Arabidopsis thaliana: one gene and its partner. The protein of the gene in region 1 interacts with the protein of each later gene in a pairwise test. Each region holds a gene or a part of one and is shown in the gene's direction. Other genes may lie near its edges. The genes, in order: AGL48 and AT1G29960.

Region 1 (3,725 bases):
TTGGTTCAACACTTCCTTCACAGTGTGCCTACCTTAATATATAATTATTGATAGGATATGATAATTTCTGTTTGGTTGTTCGAGTTTCAGAGGTTATATATAGTTATATTTTGTTTATCTCTGAGAATATTTACACATATCTCTATTAAGTTTTAGTAATATAGGAATCATCAATGTAGAAACTATGGAGAGAAACACGTTTTCAAAAAGTGTTCATCACTGGATGCATAATTGTTGTCGTTGAGAAGATTATTTACATTATTCGAGCTGGGTATTCTCACACCAACACTTCATATTCAAGTTTACAATTTTTTGTATCGATCATCCTTCAAAGTGTTTGGACATGATTTTGTCCGAATCCTAGCTTTCTTTGACTAAAAAGAGTTCTCCGTTTCTGTATTTCCCTTGTCCTGTGATTTCTTGTTTACTATGGTGTTTATTGGAAGTTGACAAGAAAAAATCAATTTTATTTTTTGTTTATGATTATATTTCGAATCTTTTAACAGTATTATACAAAATTTAAATTAAAAATAATCCCATATCTGACTGGGTTATACATGAATATTTCAATATTAATAATTAATTTAATTTATAATAATTATATATACAAAACACAACAAAATAGATTATTATATTTTCATTTGTTATATGAAATCACAACACTTTTCTATATCTTGGTTACGTAATAATTTAAGTGCACAAATATGGGTATGGTGATTCATATACTAGATAGAGATTGACATAAACTTTTCTAGAACCGATTATTTTGGTAATCAAATCATACAATGTTGTTTATGAAAGATCACCAGACAATGTGGAATAAAGCTTAGTTTTATTGTTTTCCTCTATATCTTGGTATTATTGAAATCTGGCAAAGTAGTACCAAACCGAATCCAAAAAAAACAAAATCGAGAAACAAAGAGAGTTACTACGTACACAAAAGAAAACATTCAACCACAACAACACAACGATGAGAGAAAAAAGATCGCTAAACAAAGAAAAAGAAAAAGATACAAGATGTCCATTAGAGTTTTAAGAATATATTATTCTCTTATATTTTTCCCTTAAAAGTATTGTTGTTTCAGTTTTTTGTATAAAACAATTATAAACAATTCTCAGTTTAGAGTCTCAATGTAATAACAAGAAAACATCTGAAGTAAAAAAAACAATTTATAAATAAAGAATTCAAGAGTCAACTTTTATGTATACATATGGTAATACATATATATATATATTTAATTCATACTATGTAAATATGAAAATGATACTTACACTGAAGAAAATGTATAGTCAACATTTAGTTTCCAAAATAATTATCTAACACTATGAATTAATATGATTCACAACAATGAAAATAATGTTAGTCAATATAATCATTAGCATTAAATAATGACAGAACAATTAATTAAATCATCAATTTGGTATATTGACTAGGACCTAAATTTGGACAGAAATTCAGTTATTTCAATTTTCTGTAATAGTACAATTAACCACATAAAGATTTTAACATGTTAATGGTTTGATTTGGATTTTAGTTTTTGTTTACTAGTATTGTTTTTAAAGAATAATCAATGTAAAACCAAATCCAATATAGTTTGGTAAATTTTTAATTAGCTTTGAATTCAGTTCTTAAACTTTTACTTTTTTAGCAAAATAAGTTTCATTTTTAGTCAATTTTCTATGGTATTTATGATATTTGAAAATAACTTTATAACCAAAACATAGGAAAATTCTAGTTTTTGAGTTGATATTTTCAACTTGGTTTAGATCTAAAAGGTTTGGTTTAACTAAAACATTACCATAGACATTCAATATTTTTTAGTAAGTAGCAATTAATTTTACATCTTTTGACTAGTATCATTTTCCAAAATCTCATCTTTTCAACACTATTTAAACGGATTCCCGCGCTAATCTTCATTCATATGCTCAACAACATTTAAAATTTTAAAAGAGAGAAATAAAAATCGAAGAGTGATCATGACAAGAAAGAAAGTAAAACTTGTATGGATCGAGAATGACAAGTCAAGAGCAACAAGTTTGCAAAAAATGAGGGTAGGATTACTTAAAAAGGTGAAAGAGCTAACCATATTGTGTGCTGTAAGGGCTATTGTAATCATTTTCAGCCCCGATAAGGTTGGACCATTGGTGTGGCCATCTCCTCAGGCGACTCATGGTCTCCTAGACGAATTTTTCGCTTTACCGAAGTCCGTGCAGAAGAAGAAAGAGTCAAATGTCGAATCCTACCTAAAAGAGAAGACACATAAGTTTCAAGAACAATTGAAGAAGAGTAAAAAGAAGAACAAGGAGCATGTCATTGATGAGCTGATGATGCAACTCCAAAGCGGTCGTGAAATTGCTGATCTTAACCAAAGTGAGATGTATGCCTTGTTATCTTTCTCAAGAGATACTATCCTACTTTGTAGGAAGAAACTAGCTTTCATGCAATTTCCTCCTCTTCGCGATCCACCAGTGTTTCCATTTGAAATACAAGTCGAAGAGTTCAAAACCACCACAAATGATGGTTTTGTAGGAGGCGGTCAAGATAATAAAAGAGCTGGAAGGACAGATGAAGCAACAAGATTCATCAACACCGATATATTTAAGCAGAGTAAAAGTTATTACTTTTTTGATGAATGGGTTTTTCCACCTAGTCCACCTAAATATGAAATACCGCAACAAATGGAGAACGGAAATCCAAACCCTAAAAGCTATCGTCTTTATCAAGGAAGCAGTAGCAACGGAAACCCTCATTTGGAAATGGATCCATTTCGTCTCCAAATGATGACTTCCCAAGGTTTGGCTGGGTCAGTCTCCCAACCTTTACAACATCACAGCATGATCAATAATCCAACAATGGCTATGAATCAACCAAGCCAAGATCCTTTTGATTACATGAGAAGTGAGCTGGGAATAAACGAAGGAATCAACATTAACAACTCACAATTTTACATGAGCAACAACACTATAACGGCTAATGATGGTGTTCGCCAAGAACCATATCCTAATGTAACAACCGCTGGAGAAAACAATGGTGATGCGACGACGTCTAATACCAACATGGTGTGGCCGGGTTTTAACAATCATCATTTCTAAACTCTTGATTTGGTTTGTGTTCTAAGTTTGTATGCGTTTATCTTTAAACTGTGTTTCTTTGTTTGTTTGTGGAGCTTTAAAAAGCTTTTCTTTTTGTTGTTTTAAACTTGTGTTTGTCTTTTTTTTTTCTACAAACTGTTGGTCATTTTGTTTCGTTGTTTTGGAATAAAAAATCTTTTTATTTTGTTGACTTTGAGTTGGTCATTTTGTTTCGTTGATTTTGACTATGCATTTTTATTTCATCGGAGACCTATCTCTTATTTCTATATTTTATTGTGATTTACTTTTTTTTTCCATCCTTAATCTTAATCATTAACCTGATTTTATTAAAATGCATACGTTTTTTTTTATATAAAAACATTAATAAGTATATGATGGATGAGTTGGCCAAATTTATAACAAATTTTCTTTAAAAACCCATAGAAACAAACAAATAATTTATTTTAACAGACAGAAAAAAAGAATATTTAACTTTTGATTCTCGTCCAAATTTCTTAAAAGCTAAGAATATATAAGCAAAAGGCCCATATTGTTATATGGGCTAAGAAAAAGGCCCATATATATATACCTCTACCCTAGGGTTTTCAAGGTATATATTCACAGTTACGCTACATTTCCACTTCTTGTTACCG
Region 2 (4,384 bases), on another chromosome or scaffold:
GTCTTACATTGGTACCTTGTGGAAGCAAATTTTGTTGTTGCCACCTTATATACAGCTTCTTGTGTTAAAACTATTGGCATCTCTTCCTTGTTTTGCAGGTGTTGTTTCCGGAATTCGGAATAGTTCTTTGTTGTTGTGCTTATTATACTGGTTAGTTTGTGAGAATGTGCATTGTTGGAAACAAGAAGGGAAACCGATCATTGAAGGAAATAGGAACTTTTATGATGACTACATGTTTCATTGCTAATTACCAATCCGTTCAAGTTTGCCAGGTACATGCCTCTCTTTGATTTAGTATTTCCTAACACTTCTATCGCTTAGGCAACACTGATTTATGTCATTAAAAGAACTCTATCCTCTTGATGACATGTGGATAGCTATTTGTTAGAGTATTAACCATAGTTTTTCTGATATTCAACCTTTCTTATAAATCATTGCAGGCTGAATATTTCAGACAGTTGCTTAAGCCTGTAACGTAGTCTAGCGTCTGGAGTTTTCGGAAATTGGGGTTTTGAGCGGCTATCTACTTTTGATTTCGAAAAAATTTACTGTGAGTTGTTAAAGAGTCTGGTATTCTGAAGAGCTGTCTGTGGGGGAGCTTCTGGTTTGGGGGGTAAGGGCTCTGGTGGAAACTCGTGATATCTTTAGTATGATGGCCATAACTTGATATAGCATTTGGTTCCGTGTGTCAACTTAGTGTAGTAGTAACTGAGCAGCTGGAAGCTTACAAAGGCGACAAATCGGTAGTAGAAAATATTCAAGCAGCTTGCAGTTTGAGGTGTACAACTTGTTTTTCTCTTTGCGTTTCCTTTTTTACGTTTGCACGGGTTTTCTGATGCAGAACAATCAGTTTCCTCACTTCTCAGATGAAGTGGGTGACAGAAATATGCACAACCCGTATGCATCAGGGTCATCCTATGATGCTTTGTTCCCACCATGTGCAAAGTTGCCATACCATGGTGTTGAACTTCAACCGTCTGCGGTCTGTCCAAAGAACTTTGTCATCTTCGATCAAACATATGACCGCAGCCAAGTGATGTACCATCCTGAGCTGACTCATAAGCTCATGAATACCCCTTCGTTGAACAATTTAGCTTCGACGTTTCAGAACGAGTATGTTGGGGGAAGTTATGGTAACTATGGTAACTATGAGCAAGAAGTATCCTCTTCTTATCAAGAAGATCCAAATGAGATCGATGCTCTCTTGAGCGCAGATGAAGATTATGAAGAGAATGATGATAATGAAGGTGAAGAGGATGGTGGTGATTCAGAAGAAGTCAGCACTGCTCGTACTTCTTCCAGGGATTATGGAAACACCACAGCAGAATCTTGTTGTTCCAGTTATGGTTACAACAACAACAACAACAACAACTCAAGGAAGCAGAGTTTATCGGGCAGTGCTAGTAGTAGTAACAATGATGGGAAAGGACGTAAAAAGATGAAGAAGATGATGGGAGTATTGAGGAGAATTGTCCCTGGAGGAGAACAGATGAATACAGCTTGCGTTCTTGATGAAGCTGTTCAGTATCTCAAGTCACTTAAAATCGAAGCTCAGAAACTTGGCGTTGGACATTTCTCAAACCAATCTTGAATGCTACCGATATTCGGTTCTTCCATCACTATTGTTTCTCGGGAGGTAAATCATCGGTCTAGCGCTATCTGGACCTTTCTCTTTATTTTCCTCCCTCTATACTCACTTCCTTTTGTTGGCAGGATGGTATCTATTTTATGTTTGAATCTCTCTATGTATTTTGCTTTTTGTGTGTTACTGCTTCGATGAAGAAGCAAGGTTTGAACAAGTACTTGTGGATTTGATTTGAGATTTTAATTTGTATGGTTTTACTTTCACTGTAATCATTTGACTATGAACTACAATTATCATTATGTATTTGCTTCTACATAGTTTTAAACATTTGGTCTTCCTTCTACTGAACAATGTAAGGGCCATCATTTTGAAAAGTCACGCTTATACCATAAAACGGGTCCTATACGTAACCAAAATTCAATTTCTGATGGAAATTAACTGGGTTATTAAATAACCGGGTTTATAAATTGGGTTATGATTACATTTTATTTTACACAGTATAGCTCAACGATTCGTCTCAAAGCTTCACACTTTCGTGAAATCTGCAGACTTTGTGTAGTTCTCAAATCTCGATTCGTTGGATTCAGTTGAAGAAATAGGCAATGGCGACTCCGTCGTCGTCTTTCTGGAACACAGCTTCACGAGAAGCCATGAAAAGCGGCGTGTTACTCGCGAAACTCTACTGCTTTCTTCATGTAACAACAAACTATCTCGGATTCATGGCTTATGTGAGTCAATCGAAATCTCTCTTCTTTTTTGGTGTAAATCGAATTCGTTATTGAAAATTTACCATAAAGATGTAGTCTTTTTGAGCAGGCTTATGGTCCGAGCATGACTCCGACGCTTCATCCTTCGGGAAATGTGTTATTAGCGGAGAGAATCTCGAAGCGGTATCAGAAACCGAGTCGTGGAGATATAGTTGTGATACGATCTCCAGAAAACCCTAATAAGACTCCAATTAAAAGAGTTATTGGTATTGAAGGTGATTGTATAAGCTTTGTGATTGATTCAAGGAAGAGTGATGAATCTCAAACCATTGTGGTATGTTTTGTTACTTAACCTTCTTCCTTGTTGACTTCACTTCACTTTGGTTTTGCTTATGGATGAGATTTTTGAATGTTGTACTTAGAGAACTGAGTTTGAAGAAGGTAGATACATTGTTGAGAAATTGAGTGATCAGAGTTGAAACAAGTTGTTAATTAGTATTGAGCTCGATTTAGCTGATTGCAATTCATGGAAAATTTTGAATCTTTTAGCAACGTTAGTGTTATTGGTGTATATTACAATTTCCTTTGGATTGTTTAGTTTGTTGGATTAATGGCGAATTGATCTTTCGATGTTTTTTTGGTTTTAGGTTCCTAAAGGACATGTCTTTGTTCAAGGTGACTATACTCATAACTCACGAGACTCAAGAAACTTTGGTACTGTACCTTACGGTCTTATTCAAGGCAGAGTGCTTTGGAGGGTATAAACTTTTTGTCATTAACTTACAAATATAGTTAGATTATCTGATTTCGGAACTTCAAATGTGTTATTTGCATTTGTTTTGGTAAATCTATTTGGCTAATCTTCGGTATGTATAATAATGTGTAGGTTTGGCCATTTCAAGATTTTGGACCGCTTGGACCAACCCCAACTTAGCATACGAGTTAGCTTGGTCATTAGGCCAATGAGATGACCGAGGCAGATTGGTAGTATGGTTAATCGTTGTTGCCGAGTGAGTCTGGCTCATGACTGACTATGAGATGCAGGATCATCATACCATTCACGAAGATGGGAGAATCTAAACGCTCAGGAAAAGTGAGTATATGGTTTAGACTTGAGAGCACGTAACATTATGTATTTTTGGTCTGACGCTGTATGTGAGAGTCGCCTCTGTATCAAAAAGTTAAAACAAACATCGAATGTTTTGTGTGAAGCCAAGATTATTCATGGGAAAATCTTATAACCATTTAAAAATACTACTTGATCAATAGCATTTCCCCACATTTTAAAGATTGCTCTATTTTCACTTAAATCAATCATGGTGATACCAATTGGTGGTAACGTCAAGTTTGTCAAGCCAAACTGTAGGGATTTTCTTAATTGTGTGTCAAATAATTTTTAAAACAATCATTGTGATTTATTTTCTGTTTTCCCACATATTTGATAGTTATTTAAAATCGTAGTTTCGACTATCACAATTTTTACCAATTGGTTATAAAAATTTATATAGTCAAAGTCCTTACAAAAAAAGTTTTTCCAGTCAAAGTCTCTACATCCAACATTAACAATTGTTATCAATCAACCATAACTATGCGGATAATCAATATTACCAACCTTCCAAACATTAATCTAAGAATTGACTAACTTTTATGCAATTTAAATTACTACCATTTTTCCATCTATATAAACCCTATCTTGCACCCACAAAAAAAACATATTCCTTGGCTAAAGCCAAAAACAGCAAACAAATACTTAGTTTAAATTTCTCTTATTTTTTTATAGCCAATAAACTCATAATTTTGTTTTTCTCCAAAATGAAACCCAAGAAAACCAAAGGAAAACAAAGGATTAACATCAAGAAAATTGAAAAAGACGAAGACAGATTGGTCACATTGTCTAAGCGTCGAAATGGTATCTACACTAAACTCAGTGAGCTTTCCATTCTCTGTGGTGCTGAAGTTGCGTTTCTCGGGTATTCTTGCTCTGGAAAACCATACACATTCGGCAGTCCGTCCTTCCAAGCCGTGGCAGAGCGGTTTCTCAACGGCGAGGCCTCGTCGTCTTCTTCATCATCGTTGCAACGATCGGTCATGA

Evidence for each region.
Region 2: the proteins of AGL48 (region 1) and AT1G29960 interact in a two-hybrid assay, tested with the Arabidopsis thaliana proteins (one large-scale study listed by BioGRID).

The regions. Positions count from the first base shown.
Region 1 is NC_003071.7:16,792,581-16,796,305, reverse strand, and holds AGL48 (AGAMOUS-like 48), read left to right. Parts: upstream 1-1,977; coding exon 1,978-3,093; downstream 3,094-3,725.
Region 2 is NC_003070.9:10,492,626-10,497,009, forward strand, and holds AT1G29960 (Peptidase S24/S26A/S26B/S26C family protein), read left to right. Parts: upstream 1-2,001; 5' UTR 2,002-2,187; coding exon 2,188-2,313; intron 2,314-2,388; exon of another isoform or gene 2,389-2,401; coding exon 2,402-2,626; intron 2,627-2,939; coding exon 2,940-3,050; intron 3,051-3,178; coding exon 3,179-3,226; 3' UTR 3,227-3,580; downstream 3,581-4,384. Other genes in the region: AT1G29950 (basic helix-loop-helix (bHLH) DNA-binding superfamily protein), read left to right, coding at 836-1,591; AGL64 (AGAMOUS-like 64), read left to right, coding at 4,105-4,384.